Linked DNA regions of Pelodiscus sinensis. The protein of the gene in region 1 purifies or fractionates together with the protein of each later gene. This does not show direct contact. Links are inferred from orthologs where the notes say so. Each region holds a gene or a part of one and is shown on either strand. Other genes may lie near its edges.

What was found. Proteins that work in one complex are often made in the same cells at the same time.
Region 2: the proteins of YBX1 (region 1) and G3BP1 purify together in Homo sapiens (affinity purification with mass spectrometry; 3 studies listed by BioGRID and IntAct, with this or other methods). This does not show direct contact. The link is inferred for Pelodiscus sinensis from reciprocal best matches to the Homo sapiens genes YBX1 and G3BP1.

Annotation. Positions count from the first base shown.
Region 1 is NC_134733.1:3,158,466-3,166,479, forward strand, and holds the start of YBX1 (Y-box-binding protein 1), read right to left. Parts: upstream 3,012-8,014; 5' UTR 2,852-3,011; coding exon 2,695-2,851; intron 2,334-2,694; coding exon 2,270-2,333; intron 1-2,269. UniProt on the Homo sapiens protein: DNA- and RNA-binding protein involved in various processes, such as translational repression, RNA stabilization, mRNA splicing, DNA repair and transcription regulation.
Region 2 is NC_134727.1:36,251,747-36,259,395, forward strand, and holds the start of G3BP1 (ras GTPase-activating protein-binding protein 1), read left to right. Parts: upstream 1-4,637; 5' UTR 4,638-4,782; intron 4,783-7,649. UniProt on the Homo sapiens protein: Protein involved in various processes, such as stress granule formation and innate immunity. Plays an essential role in stress granule formation.

The DNA of each region.
Region 1 (8,014 bases):
TCTCCTCCAGTCTTAGCAAGGAGCTACTGCAACCAGGGAAAAGGCACCTTTCCCTCCTCCACAATAGCTTCCATTGGCTCATCAGGCACCTACAAAGCCATGCATCTTAGAGGGAACTCTGAATTATGTGTGCGCAAAGCCAATTACATATTGATCTTTTACATAATCCAGCCATCTTTATGAACATATCAGAGCACTGCACTTGCACCCAGGATGAATAAGGAATTCAAAGTAGTTTGCTTTGTCAACACTAGCTCCTACATATCCTATTAAGAGAAGTTAGCAAAAGCAGCTTGAAGTGTGTGCACTCTGGCTCACTAAAAGTAAACAAACATCTTATTTGTACAATAAAGTCAACTGTTGTCTATAATTGCTTATTGTGTTATTTCACATGACCTTGAGTGACAGGTTCAGATAGTATGAGCCTCCCAAATAATTTAGGTTCTACTGTACACCTTTCAAAACAATAAATGGATTATGAAAAGTAATAAGGAGGAAAGGAGAATAACTAAGGGCATTATTCTCCACCTCTTCGCAAAACACCCACTGCCTTCAATGAGAGCTCTACATGCAGAAAACTTCCAGAATTGAGCTGTAAAGGAACTTTGCATCTTATTAATATGCACCCAGCACTTAAAGCACCTCTGCTGAGTCACTCAAGAGATTCCATCACAAGGACTAACAGTTCTTAAAATATTCCAAACTTCAACAGAATACTTTGAGTACATTACACTATATCCAGTTTTTTTAATTTTCTGACAATTCTTTAGAAAACATACGCTGACATTTTAAAATTCATTCAGAAAACCCCTTGTGCAAAATGTTTTATTTAAAATGCAGCATTTTATAAGGTATTTCTCAGTCTCCCTTGCTAATTGACAGCATAAAGCAAACAGTGAAAATGGTATTTAAATGAAGTGCTATCAAATGCACGAAGTTAAGAAATTCCAAAATACAGAAAATTCTAGCTTTTTGCAGTATTGACCATCTTAGAAGTTCCTTGTAATAGTGTTTAAAAGATATTTAAAAATCCAACTTTGCACAAAAGTTCTAACCAAATGAGTTTAAAGCTACTGACCCAGACCTTTGTAAGTCAGCATGCTCTTTATAGTTCAGTTGGCACTGAAAACAGAGCATACTCTAAGTGACATTTCTGAGCACAATAATTAAAAATTAAAGTAAACTCAGTGTAAATTACTATGCTTATCGAATCATAGAGCTGGAAAAGACCTCAGGTGGTCATCAAGTCCAGCCTCCTGCTCTAGGCAAGACCAATCCCAACTTACAGTCAAATGAATTTTGAAAATACTAATGCAAATATCAATACCTAATTAAGTCTGCTATTAAGGCTTATCACTTGTATACATTTATACACAGCTTAGAATCAAACAAGTATTAACACACAACATGAACCAAAGTGTTATACCTTTAAAAACCATCTTAAAGGATCAAAGAATGATAACTATGAAAAATCAAACTACTTCCAACACTGAGTAAATATCCCCATTGAAACCAATTTATTAAAAACACTTCAAGACAATAAATCTAGAAGACAGAGTGGACACCTATCTTAACTGTTATTGCTTCTGTGAAAAGCTCAATGGGACAGGAGGTCAGGTCATGTTCGAATCGCACACATTCCCTACAATACCTGTGAAAAGGTTACAGAAACTATAATCTCATTCTGATCCAATGTTTACATGGAAATACCACCCAGAATCTCAACCAGAACAACACTTGCAGACGTCAGGCCACATGTCAAAACACGAGGCTATGATGACAGCCCACTGTCTTAGTTGTGCTGTTCTAGGGAGGGATACCGGGCGTTACTACCATTCGATTTCTTATCTGCTTTCGTGGAAAACTCAGTAGTAAGGATTTGGAAGAGCAACCCTCGTGAGAGCAGCGCTGGGTGGGAAAGAGGCATGAAGAGTGAACCGTCCCCCTGGGGAAGGTCTGCAGCAGCCATCAAACCCATTCCCCAGGCCAGTATCAGAGGGGTCGCTGTGTTAGTCTGAATCTGCAAAAGCGACGAGGAGTCCTGTGGCACCTTATAGACTAACTGCAGTGTAGGAGCATAAGCTTGCGTGGGCAAAGACCCACTTCGTCAGATGCATTCCCCAGGCGAGTCACCTCAGCACTAAGCCGTTTGCCAGAGGGGGCCTGCTCGGCGAGCAGCGTGACAGAGGCACGGTCCCAGCTGAGGCCGCTCCTCCCCCGGGCAAGGCGCACGTGGCGCAGGCCTGGCCCTGGGCACCTTGCTCCTCACCTGTTGATGAAGCCGTAGCCGTTTCTTACGTTGAACCATTTTACTGTTCCCAAAACCTTCGTTGCTGAAAGGGAAAACGTGACAGTCACGTGACGCCCCGCCCACGCAGGGCCGCCGAGCCAGGCTCCCCACCGCGGGCTCAGCGAGGCAGGCGGGCCGGGCCGCACCGCACCGCGCGCCGGGGGCCCCGGGCAGGCACGTGGCTAAGCGGGTTTCACACAAAGGCCCCGCGTGGCGGACATTTTGAGTGGCTCCGCGCCCGCCCCGCCCCCATCCGCCGCCGCACGCGGGGCTCAACGGCTCAAGCGGCGCGCGGGGGCCTAACGGCCACTGCGCGCGCACCAGACAGGGGTCTCGCGCCTTCCTGCGGGGGAGGAGGGATGACGCCCACAGACCCCTCCCCTTCCCCCCCTCAGCCCCCTCACCGATGACCTTCTTGTCCCCGCCGGCGGGGGGCGCCGCCGAGGCCAGGCCGCTGCCACCGTTGCCTGTGCCGCCGTTAGGTTTGGACTCGGCGGGGGCGGTGGGCGCCGCCGCGGGAAGAGGGGCGGCGGGCGGCTGGGTCTCGGCCTCGCTGCTCATGGCGGCGGCTGTTCGGTGCGGACGGTGGTGGTGACTGGCTGTTGCGCCGCCTCCCGCAGTGTGATGGTGACTGGGGCCGGCCGTGGGGGGGGGGCTGCTCCCTGCTCCGGGCTCGCTGGGCTCCGCTCTCCGCTCCCGATACCGATCGAACTGACCACAATGGCGGCCCGCACCGGCTAGCCACCCAGCACGCACCGCCCACTAGCTCTTTCACTGGCTGCGGAGCTTGCCCGTCACGGATCGTGCAAACCCATTGGCTTTTAGAAATCCGCCCTCAGGGGCTTGTCACACCCGTTGGCTGTGGCTCTCGCCCATCATAGAACGCGCTCCGTTATTAGGTGTTCTTATCCCGGCCACATTTTTGCTAGCGCCCATTGGCCGTCGAGCCTGCCCATCATACAACGCGTACACCCATTGGCTGCACGAATCACGGCTGCCGGGACTTGTTTCGGCCTGGTTCGTTACTCCTCCCTTTTGGAGCGTGGTTGGTGCAGCATCCCTGTGATCCCGCCTTCTGCACCTGGGAGGGAGCGGAAGGGCGCGGGCCGGAGCACGTGGCCTCGGTTGAACTCGTGCAGTTATCTAGGGGCACGTGCTCAGGTCGGAGCTGGGGCAGCCTGGCCCTCGCCTCCGCACACAGCCCCGCGGCGCCCAGTCTAAGGGGAAGTCTCTGCCTTCTCGCTGGCAAATAGGACTGCCACCTTGCTATTGGTACAAAACCGGCACACCCCAGCCTAGCCCCCAGAAGCCCCCCAGCATGTCTCTCAGCCCAGCTCCAACCCCCCACACACACACACACTATTCCTGTCTCATATGAAGCACCTTCACACATGTTCCTTGAAGGGCCCTGATGTGAATCTGAGCAGATCCCATCAGTCTGAGAGAAGTCCCCTGAGGCCTGAGCACTTCTAGGCTTGGAAGATGGTTTCTAGCTAGAATAATATAGCCAGTTAACACAGGCCACCCCAGGAATGGAGCCAGCTCTCCAATTTGGAAAGCATGATAAGGGACCCACTGAAGGTAGGGGGGTGGACTGGGATTTACAGTGAACTTGGAGCTAGGGCTTCAGCCTTTGGAGCACAAGATGGTGGGCTCAATCCCACACCCACCCACCCAGCAACAGGGCAGCTAACACCGTCTGCCCCAGGGATTAACCTAGCTCCTGCATTAGGAAAGCAGGATAAGGGACCCCCTGGAAGATAGGGAGGTGGAGTGGGCTGGGGTTAAGGCATTTGCTTGCAGAGGGCAGGGCTGTGAGTCCAAGGCCCTCCACCACCAGGAGCAGCTGGACAGTGGTAGAGGCTGGCTGATGGCAGTAGAATTGAAGATCCAGACTGTGAGAATCAGGACTAGGACCCAACAGTGCTTTTTGCTCCACTGGTAGCTTGTATCAGAGGGGTAGCCGTGTTAGTCTGAATCTGCAAAAGCGGTGAGGAGTCCTGGGGGTCTTTGCCCACGAAAGCTTATGCTCCAACACTTCAGTTAGTCTATAAGGTGCCACAGGACTCCTCGCCGCTTTTACAGGTAGCTTGTATCACTGCTGTGTGTGCTAGGAGATGGAAGTTGCTTTGTACATAAATGATCTAAAAGGATATTCCTATTTGCCAATGTGATCTGCTCCCCTGGCTGTCCAATCCATGATATTAGGCTGTGAGCCACACCCTCTACAACTCCACCTAAGTGGACTGAAGAATTGAAGAATTGCTCAGAACCGTGCATTTCCCTGCTGTTGTGTATTCATTACCAAGGGGCCAACACATTATCAATAAGCTACAGCCTATACTGGTGTTGGAGTCACTGGGCATGATCCTAGGTAACTCGGGGGAGTGGAAGATCACAAGGATCGATGAAGAGCCCCCGCTCTAGGCCCAAGCACCCTAAAAGCCCCCTTCCCCCCCGAGACATAACTTTTCTCTAGCTCGCTAACAGCTGGGAACAGCAAGACATTGAAAGTTGCCTAGTTACTATCAGTGGTATAGAAGAAGAATTCAGATGTGTTTCTGTAGAGGAGGAGGAGGGGGACTGGCAGCATGTCCCAGCCTGGGAAACTTGCTACAGTTCACTATTCTCCTGCAAGTAAACAACCTGGGTATATAAGGAGGGAAAACTGCTTACGTTGGTGTGCCTGACCTGAGATGTCTCCTGGAACCTATTTGAGCGTTCAAATAAATTTTTTTTGGCTTCTCCACACCGGTGTGTTTATTGGAGCGCGCACACCGGGCAACAAACCCAGCTGTTGCCCCCCTCGGGCACTGTGTGCCGGCAACACTGGAACAGGATACCATACCCCAAGAGGCTCTGGGAGACAGACCCATAGTCTCCTATAGACAACCACCTAACCTCAAGATGATTCTTACCAACAACCACAGGACATACCACACTAAGACCAACCCTGGTACCTTCCCTTGCAACAAACCCCGTTGCCAGCTTTGTCCACATATTCATTCTGCTGATACCATTGTTGGACCTAACCAAGTGAGTTATAAGATCAAGAACACACATTCCTGCGCATCCAGAAATATAATTTATGCTATCATGTGCCGAAAGTGTCCGTCTGCTATGTACATTGGACAAACAGGTGACAACCTGGGAAGCAGTGATCATGAGAAGGTAGATTTCAGGATACTGACCAAAGAAAGAAAAGAGAATAGTAAAATACACACCTTGGACTTCAAAAAAAGCGGATTTTGACTCCCTCGAAGACCTGATGGGCAGAATCCCCTGGGATGCTAACATGAAGGGGAAAGGAGTCTAGGACAGCTGGCAGTATTTTAAAGAAGCTTTATTGAAGGCACAGAAAGTAACCAGCCCTATGCGTAGCAAGAGAGGCAAACATGGTAGGAGACTGGATTGGCTTACAGGAGAAATCCTTGGTGAACTTAAGCACAAAAAGGAAGCTTACAAAAAGTGGAAACTTGGACAAATGACCAGGGAGGGGTTTAAATGTCTAGCTCAAGAATTCCGGGGGGTTATCAGGAAGGTGAAAGCGCAAATGGAATTGCGACTGGCTAAGGATGTGAAGGATAACAAGAAAGGTTTCTACAGTCATGTTAACAAGAAAAAGGTGATCAGAGAGGGTGTGGGGCCCCTACTCGATGAAGGAGGTAAGCTAGTGACAGATGATGTGGGGAAAGCTGAAATACTCAATGCTTTCTTTGCCTCTGTATTCATGGACAAGGTGGGCACTCAGACTAATGCGCTAAGTGACACAAGATGGGATGAAGATGGACAGCCCTTTGTGGGTAAAGAACAGGTTAGGAACTATTTAGAAAAGCTAAACGTATACAAATCTGTGGGTCCCAACTTAATGCATCGAGGGTACTGAGGGAGTTGGCAAATGTCATTGAGGAGCCTTTGGCCATTATCTTTGAAAAATTGTGGAGATCGGGAGAAATCCCGGATGATTGGAAAAAGGCAAATGTAGTGCCCATCTTCAAAAAAGGGAAGAAGGACGATCCAGGGAACTACAGGCCGGTCAGTCTTACCTCGGTCCCTGGAAAAATCATGGAAGGGATCCTTAAGGAATCCATTTTGAGGCACTTGGAAGAAAGGAAGGTGATTAGGAATAGTCAGCATGGATTCACAAAGGGCAAGTCGTGCCTGACCAATCTGATTAGCTTCTATGATGCGGTAACTGGCTCTGTGGATATGGGAAAGTCAGTGGATGTGATATACCTTGACTTAACAAGGCTTTTGATACGGTCTCCCACAACATTCTTGCCAGGAAGTTAAGGGAATGTGGATTGGATAAATGGACGGTAAGATGGATAGAAAGATGGCTAGAAGGCCAGGCCCAGCAGGTAGTGAGCAACATCTCGATGTCAGAATGGCGGTCGGTTTCTAGCAGAGTGCCCCAAGGTTCGGTTCTAGGACCGGTTTTGTTCAATATCTTTATTAATGACCTAGATTACGGGATGGATTGCACTCTCAGCAAGTTTGCGGATGATACTAAGCTGGGGGATAGGTAGATACGCTTCAGGGCAGAGATAGGATCCAGAGTGATTTAGACAAATTGGAGGATTGGGCCACAAGAAATCTGATGAGGTTCAAAAGGACAAGTGTAGAGTCCTGCACTTGGGACGGAAGAATCCCAAGCATAGTTACAAGCTGGGGACCAACCGGTTAAGTAGTAGTTCTGCAGAAAAGGACCTGGGGGTTACAATGGATGAGGAGCTGGATATGAGTCAAAAGTGTGCCCTTGTATCCAAGAAGGCTAATAGCATATTAGGTTGCATTAAGAGGAGCATTGCCAGCAGATCTAGAGATGTCATTATTCCCCTTTATTTGGCTTTGGTGAGGCCACATCTGGAGTATTGTGTCCAGTTCTGGGCTCCCCACTACAAAAAGGTAGGAGAGGGTCCAGCAGAGGACAACCAAAATGATTAGGAGGCTAGAGCATCTGACTTATGAGGAGAGGCTGAGGGAGTTGGGTCTGTTTAGTCTGCAGAAGCGAAGAGTGAGGGGGGATTTGATGGCAGCCTTCAACTTCCTGAAGGGAGATTCCAAAGAGGATGGAGAAAGGGTGTTCTCAGTAGTGATGGATGGCAGAACAAGGAGCAATGGTCTCAAGTTGTGGTGGGAGAGGTCCAGGTTGGATATTAGGAAAAACTCTTTCCCTAGGAGGGTAGTGAAGCACTGGAATGGGTTACCTAGAGAAGTAGTGGAGTCTCCATCCCTAGAGGTGTTTGAGTCTCGGCTTGGCAAAGCCCTGGCCGGGTTGATTTAGTCTAGAGCAGGGGGCTGGACTTGATGACCTTCTGGGGTCTCTTCCAGCTCTATGATTCTATGAACACTCCTTCCCGGCTCTCTGTCCTCAGCAAAGGTGCTTCTGGAGCAGAGAGCGAGAGTGAAGACAAAGATATAGGCACCCCCAGGATACTGTTATAAGCTTGTCCATGCAAAGAGAAATCCATTATTCTCCTGAGTAATGGTACCTCCCAAAATGGAGCTGATCACATGATCACCGTGTCCTTTATGGGCAGGAAGCCATGGAGTATCCAGGTATGTGCTCCCGAGGCAAAGGGCCATTGTATGCTCCTCAGGTGTCAATTGGCAACACTTACGAGCCTTTGCCCATGAAGCATTCACTATTCATTGGGCCACCACCACCCGCAATTTGTGGTCAATGCCTACTGCTGTCTCCTAGACAGAAAATATATACAG
Region 2 (7,649 bases), on another chromosome or scaffold:
TGCTGTAAAAGTAGGTGCTGATGTGACCCTTTCCGCAAGCGTGGGGGTTATCTGAGAGACCGTGCTGCTGTGGGCCTCTCTGCTGTTTGTCCTCCCAGCTGTGGGGCAGGGTTATTTTACACGGCTGCCCCTTGGCTTGTACTAAACTCTGCAAAGGCCTTGCTACTGATCTATGAGCTGGCAGCTTGCAATGTGGCTCAGGATATAAATAGTAAAAAAAAAAAAAAAAAAAAGCGGGGGGGGAATATTAATGCTGAGGATGGCATAATGCCAGCCTAGTGACTGTAAATCTCCCTGCAAGAAACTAGGGAAGGAGATTCATACAGTGGCTGCCTGCTAGGGGAACAAGAGGCATTAAGTCCTGGCTATAGGGTCAGGTGTTACCCTTGCTCCCCCTCCCAAGCAACATCACTGATTTAGCGCTGCACAGGATGTAGGTGAAGGGAAATTTTGGCCCTTTGGCAGACAGTTTGGTCCAAGCAAGTGTCCACCACCTCCACAGCAAAACCAAACATGTGCCTTAGGAAACTGACTTCAAGCCCTGACTGCTTTTACTTTGTGGAAGCAAGGCTGTGGTACGAAAGTTGCTGTGCCTTCTGGGGCTCTTTTATCCTTTCAGGTGACGACATGCAATGTGACATGGATTTTATGGGATGGATCAGTAACGGGGCATCTCTTTCCACTTGGAGAGTGGTATTTTTAGGGTAGAGCACTGATGAGGCAATGCAAAAACCTGAACCTCTGCCTTATCAAAGCTTTCAGAGCAAGTTTCAGTTGGCTTGATTTCTCTGTTTCAGTAAGAAATTGCAAAAGAGGAAAAAGAAATTGCTGCTGCACAGACAGGTGAACTGTGTTATTTGTTTTCTCATCTAGATGCTCCTGCGGGCTCACCAGTCTGAGTGTAGTGGGTGATCTGATTTCCAAGTGGACTTGTTACTTGGGATGTTGGCTGGGAAGCCTCAGGATGGAGTTTTGTGTCCAGTGGGAATGGATTTGATCATATTCCTATGCTGAAACCTCTTAAGAGAAGGTTGAGCATTTTCCCAGGAGGTTACGGGATCTGTGACGATCAAGCTGGTAGGGCTGTATGCGCAGGGAGCCCTGGGTGGAAAGAGAACCTTTTAGAGGATGCAGTGTCCGCCCCGAAGGTTCATTCTTGGTGCTACTGAACTTTGATATTGCACCACCCAGTGTGGCAGTCCCAAGGAAATAATGGGAATGGAGACAGTTTAGTGCTTTGCACAATGTGGAGGAATCTTCCAGGAAGACTGGGATGGTGGGAGAAAGCACAGAGTGACCAGGATGATCTGAGCCGCACAAATGCCCAGGTGAAGACAGGTGACAATACCTGTCTGGGCCATATGGCGCTACAGAGTCCGGATGTGCCAGGGAGGAAGGGGTGGCTGGACTGGGCTGGGTTTTGAAGGTTGGGAAAGCCATGGCCTGGATGGGCTGTGTCAGAATGGGTGACCAGCCAGCTTGTGGTTTGGAGGCTGGGTGAGGCCTTGACCCAGCATTGAAGATGGACACCCTGGGCCAGAAGTAGCTGACCAGGCCGTACTGTGGTAGAGAGGCTGGGTGAGGCCTTGGCTCTGTGGAAGGCAGGCTGTGCAGAGAACTGGAGGCTGCAAGTGGTGGGATCAGCACGTGACTGATGGAAGGCCGGCTGTGCAGAGGTCCCAAGGCTGGACACCGTGGATTCAGCGGGTGATTGGGTCGTGCTGAGTCAGGCTGGGCCCCACAGAGACTGGCTGTGGCAGGTTCAGTGGGTGACGGGGCAGTACAGTAATATGGAGGCGGGGTGAGGCTGGGCCTTGTGGAGGCTGGGTTTGGCAGGTGACTGGGCCCCGGGTAGGCTAGCTCTGGCGGGTTCAGTGGGTGATGGGGCCATACAGTGGTATAGAGGCCAGCTATGAATGGTCTGGTGGGTGGAAGGGCCAAACAGTGGTATGGAGGCTGGGTAAGGCTGGCTGTGGTGGGTTTGGCAGGTGTCAGGGTCATACAGTGGTAGGGAGGCTGGGAGAGGGTAGGCCCTAGGGAGACCAGCTGTGGCAGGTTCAGTGGGTGACTGGGCCATACGGTGGTATTGAGGCTGGGCCCCAGGGAGGCCGGCTGTAGCAGCTTTGGAGGGTGGTGGAGCTGTACAGTGGTGCGGAGACTGAGGGAGGCCAACTGTGTGGTCAGCAGGTGGCGGGGCCGTACAGTGTTACAGAGGCTGGGGGAGGCTGGCTGTGGTGGATTCAGTGGATGGTGGGGATGTACAGTGGTACAGAGGCTGAGGGAAGCTGGCTGTAGCAGGGCCGTATGGAGGCTAGGACCAGCTGTGGTGGGTTTAGGGGATGGTGGCAGGTTTGGTGGAGGCGGGGCCATATGGTGGTGAGGAGGCTGTCTGTGGTGGGGCTGTACGGTGGTGGCCGTACGGTGGTAGGCAGGCTGGGGAAAAGGGGTCGGCGGCGGTGGGTTTGGCAGTGGCGGCCGTACAGTGGTAGGGAGGCCGGGGGGGTCAGTGGTGGCGGGTTTGGGGGAGGCGGCCGGATGGTGGTAGGGAGGCGGGGGGGAGGGTCGGCAGTGGTGGGTTCGGGGTTGGCAGCCATATGGTGGTAGGGAGGCCGGGAGGGGGGCATTCTGGAGCTGTACGGTGGTAGGGAGCCTGGTGGGGGGGTTGGCGATGGCGGGGCTGTACGGTGGTAGGGAGCCTGGTGGGGGGGTTGGCGATGGCGGGGCTGTGCGGTGGTAGGGAGGCGGGGGGGGGTTCTGGAGCCGTGCGGTGGTAGGGAAGCGGGGGGGGTTCTGGAGCCGTGCGGTGGTAGGGAGGCGGGGGGGGGGGTTCTGGAGCCGTGCGGTGGTAGGGAGGCGGGGGGGGTTCTGGAGCCGTGCGGTGGTAGGCAGACGGGGGGGGGTTCTGGAGCCGTGCGGTGGTAGGGAGGCGGGGGGGGGGTTCTGGAGCCGTGTGTGGTAGGGAGGCGGGGGGGTTCTGGAGCCGTGCGGTGGTAGGGAGGCGGGGGGGGGGGTTCTGGAGCCGTGCGGTGGTAGGGAGGCGGGGGAGGGGGGGGTTCTGGAGCCGTGCTGTGGTAGGGAGGCGGGGGGGGGGGTTCTGGAGCCGTGCGGTGGTAGGGAGGCGGGGGAGGGGGTTCTGGAGCCGTGCGGTGGTAGGGAGGCGGGGGGGGTTCTGGAGCCGTGCGGTGGTAGGGAGGCGGGGGAGGGGGTTCTGGAGCCGTGCGGTGGTAGGGAGGCGGGGGGGGGGTTCTGGAGCCGTGCGGTGGTAGGGAGGCGGGGGGGGGTTCTGGAGCCGTGCGGTGGTAGGGAGGCGGGGGGAGGGGGTTCTGGAGCCGTGCGGTGGTAGGGAGGCGGGGGGAGGGGGTTCTGGAGCCGTGCGGTGGTAGGGAGGCGGGGGGGAGGGGGTTCTGGAGCCGTGCGGTGGTAGGGAGGCGGGGGGGGGGTTCTGGAGCCGTGCGGTGGTAGGGAGGCGGGGGAGGGGGTTCTGGAGCCGTGCGGTGGTAGGGAGGCGGGGGGGGTTCTGGAGCCGTACGGTGGTAGGGAGGCGGGGGGGAGGGGGTTCTGGAGCCGTGCGGTGGTAGGGAGGCGGGGGGGGTTCTGGAGCCGTGCGGTGGTAGGGAGGCGGGGGGGGTTCTGGAGCCGTGCGGTGGTAGGGAGGCGGGGGGGAGGGGGTTCTGGAGCCGTGCGGTGGTAGGGAGGCGGGGGGGGTTCTGGAGCCGTGCGGTGGTAGGGAGGCGGGGGGGAGGGGGTTCTGGAGCCGTGCGGTGGTAGGGAGGCGGGGGGGGTTCTGGAGCCGTGCGGCGGTAGGGAGGCGGGGGGGAGGGGGTTCTGGAGCCGTGCGGTGGTAGGGAGGCGGGGGGGGTTCTGGAGCCGTGCGGCGGTAGGGAGGCGGGGGGGAGGGGGTTCTGGAGCCGTGCGGTGGTAGGGAGGCGGGGGGGAGGGGGTTCTGGAGCCGTGCGGTGGTAGGGAGGCGGGGGGGAGGGGGTTCTGGAGCCGTGCGGCGGTAGGGAGGCGGGGAGGGGGGTTCTGGAGCCGTGCGGTGGTAGGCAGGCGGGGGGGGGGTCACGGTGACCCAGGGGGCGGGGCCAGAGCAGCTGGGGGGAGCAGCACGTGGCCTGGTGCAGCAGGTGGGGGGAGGCGCGGGCGGCCCTTCCCCCCGTGGGGCGGGGCCCGGCTGCCGGCCGGGGGCGGGCTGACTCTGCCTCGGTGCCGCCTTTCCCTTTAAGAGCCTGTCGCGTGCGGCCTGTCAGTCAGGGCCAGCCGGGCTTCCTAATTGGCTGCGGCGCCCAGACCCGAAACGAGTGCCGGCCCTGTCTAAAACGGGGTTTACCTAGCCTGATCTCCAGGGCGCCGCTCTACGGCGTAACCACCCTACGCGGGCACCTTACCTCCGCCTCGTCCAACTTTCACCTCATAGCGAAAGTTGCGTCGCCTTATTGGTCACCGGGGGAGTCAGTCGAGCTTTATCCCGCCCTAGGGGCTGCCATTTCAACGCCTGTTGGCTGGTTCTTACGTCGCTCACCTAACGGCGTCCTGCCTCACGGCAGTGCCGATAGGGTGCGTTCGATGCCACTCACGAAGCACCGCCCTGCTTTGGCGGCCCTGGCCAAACGGCGTCCGAGCTGCGAAGTGCGGCGCTCGGTGATTGGCTGGCGCGGTGCGGCGGGGTTAGGCTGCGCGCCGGATATATGCAGCCGGCGGGTGAGCACGCCGTTGCGTGAGGTTTTGCCATTGCCCGGCCGGCCTGTCGCGAAGCCTCCTGCTCCAGTCCCGCTCCGTCCGCAGGTAACGGGGGGGCCCTGCCGCGCCCCCTCCTCGCGCCCCGCGGGGGGGGCTCCTGCCCCGGCGTCACGGGCACGCGCGGGCTCGGCGCCGCTCGGCGGGCCGGGGGGAGGGGAAGGAAGCTGGGACCCCCCCCCCGGCCGGGCCCGCTTGGGGGCAGGGCGCGGGGGGGGCGCCCCTCGTGGGGGGGGGGGTCTCCGGCACCGCGCTGCGTGCAGGGCTGGGGGTGGCCCGGGGCGGTAATTCAGCGTGTGGGAATGGTGGGGGCGGGCCGGGGGGGGCTGGGGGTGTGGTTCACTGCGGGGGGGGCTGGGAGCGGGGCTGTAATTCATGGGCACAGGGTGAGAGTGGGGGGGCACATGGGGCAATAATGCACTCGGGACGGGGGTATCTGGGGGTGTAATTCACTGGGGACAGGGTGCGAATGGGGGGGGTGGCGGCCTGGGGGTGTAATTCACTGGGGGCAGGGTGCGAATGGGGGGGGTGGCGGCCTGGGGGTGTAATTCACTGGGGGCAGGGTTGGAATGGGGGGGGTAGCGGCCTGGGGGTGTAATTCACTGGGGGCAGGGTTGGAATGGGGGGGGTGGCGGCCTGGGGGTGTAATTCACTGCGGGCAGGGTTGGAATGGGGTGGGGTGGCGGCCTGGGGGTGTAATTCACTGCGGGCAGGGTTGGAATGGGGGGTGGCGGCCTGGGGGTGTAATTCACTGGGGGCAGGGTTGGAATGGGGGGTGGCGGCCTGGGGGTGTAATTCACTGGGGGCAGGGTTGGAATGGGGGGGGGGTAGCGGCCTGGGGGTGTAATTCACTGGGGGCAGGGTTGGAATGGGGGGGGTAGCGGCCTGGGGGTGTAATTCACTGCGGGCAGGGTTGGAATGGGGGGTGGCGGCCTGGGGGTGTAATTCACTGGGGGCAGGGTTGGAATGGGGGGGGGGGTGGCGGCCTGGGGGTGTAATTCACTGCGGGCAGGGTTGGAATGGGGGGTGGCGGCCTGGGGGTGTAATTCACTGGGGACAGGGTGCGAATGGGGGTGGGGGTGGCGGCCTGGGGGTGTAATTCAATGCGGACAGGGTTGGAATGGGGGGTGGTGGTCTGGGGGTGTAATTCACTGGGGACAGGGTGCGAATGGGGGTGGGGGTGGCGGCCTGGGGGTGTAATTAACTGCGGACAGGGTTGGAATGGGGGGGGGGGTAGCCCAGGCCTCCCGCAGCCTCCCTGCAAGGATCATCGTGCATGCAGGCCGAAGTAAGGGGGGGGGGGGGGCTGCCTGCTCTCTCGGGTGGTGCTGGGGGTTGAGAAACATCGAGCCGTCTGGGCTACAAAAACAAGCCGTTTCATGGAGCGGTTCCTGTGCTCTGAAAGCCCCAGTGTGTTTGGCACCATCGGTGTGAGAAGAACATTCCTCTGGCCGCACAGAAAGGAGTGACGCTGTGGAAAAGAGTAAACGTTGCTGGGGCTGTGGACAATAGGGATCCTTCTGAAAGCAAATATTTTAAGGGGGGGGGGAAGAGTTAGAGGAGGGACACAAACAGGAGGGAAGAAAACTTGGTTGTGTTAGGCTAGATACAAAGTGGCAACCTTTGTTCTGTGCTTTACATAGCTGGTGTGTTCTATCAAACAAAAACCTAAAATGCCTACACGTAGTAGCTACGCTGCAGAGCTTGTTCATGGATTAATGTGGCATAGAAAAATACCCACCCCTTGAGACATTTGTAGTCCTCTGTAAATCTCTGCATTGTACAAAGGAGGGTAAGTTTCACCCCTGCTTTACAAGTGGGGTAATATTGTCCTCTCTGTGGTATTAAATGATTTATCCAAGGTCACACAGCAAGACAATGGTGGAGCTGGGATTTTAAACCTAGAACTGCAAATAAGATAGTGTAAGAAGAGCTCCCAGTAACTTGGAAGGAAGGCCCCAGGCCTACTTGCTTGGGAAAGCCCTACCTGTATCATTGTTACTGAATCTGAATGTCTTGCATAGAGTTAGTGTATAAGGTTGTATTTGGAATTATTGCTTTGTGGTGGTTATCCATTGGTGAGACACTTACATTAAGCATTGTGAATATAATGTATTCCATGTTAAGTGGCACCTTCCTATTTAGATCTGAAAAGTGTTGGCAGCAAACAGCCATGTTTCCAGTCAGCTATTTTTGTCAGGCCTACCCTTTGAAACAAATGACAGCATTAGGAAATGTAGAAAGGCTACCAACTCCTGAACATTAACTTCCAGTTAGTATAAATAAAATAACTTGTGATGGATCTTCAGCCATTATGTAGTTCTTGCCAACAGTGTTTCTTGCTACTGAGGTTTAGGTTCTTCTGAAAACAGCATCTTCTATTCACTAGATCAGTCACTTCACTTAAAAGGGGTTAAGAAAACATGCCAAGTTCTCAAATACGATCTTAGGGAAAATTGAGAGTAAATTGCATTTTTTCTAATTAACTTAGATTCTCGGATGTATTCAGCAGTGTTATTGATAGTGGTAGAATGGGCACTCTCCTCAAGTCTTTTGAAAGATACTATACCTTTCTCTGCTGACTTGAAGTTAAATCCAGTCATGACTTGCAACAAAATGTCTAAATTGCAGCTGCTTGTTCAGGTGTAACTGGGTAGAATGTCACATTAAACTGGAAGTTTAAGTAGTTGGATAGGTAAAGAGTTGTGTGAAACAGTAATACTATTGTGAGAGATTCATGCATCTGTGTTCCTTTCTCAGTGTGTTTTAACATTAATATGCCTTAAGAACAATTGCTAAATCTAGTATGAAGCAAAATGCAGGACAATGTAGCACTTTAAAGACTAACAAGATGGTTTATTAGATGATGAGCTTTCGTGGGCCAGACCCACTTCCTCAGATCAAATAGTGGAAGA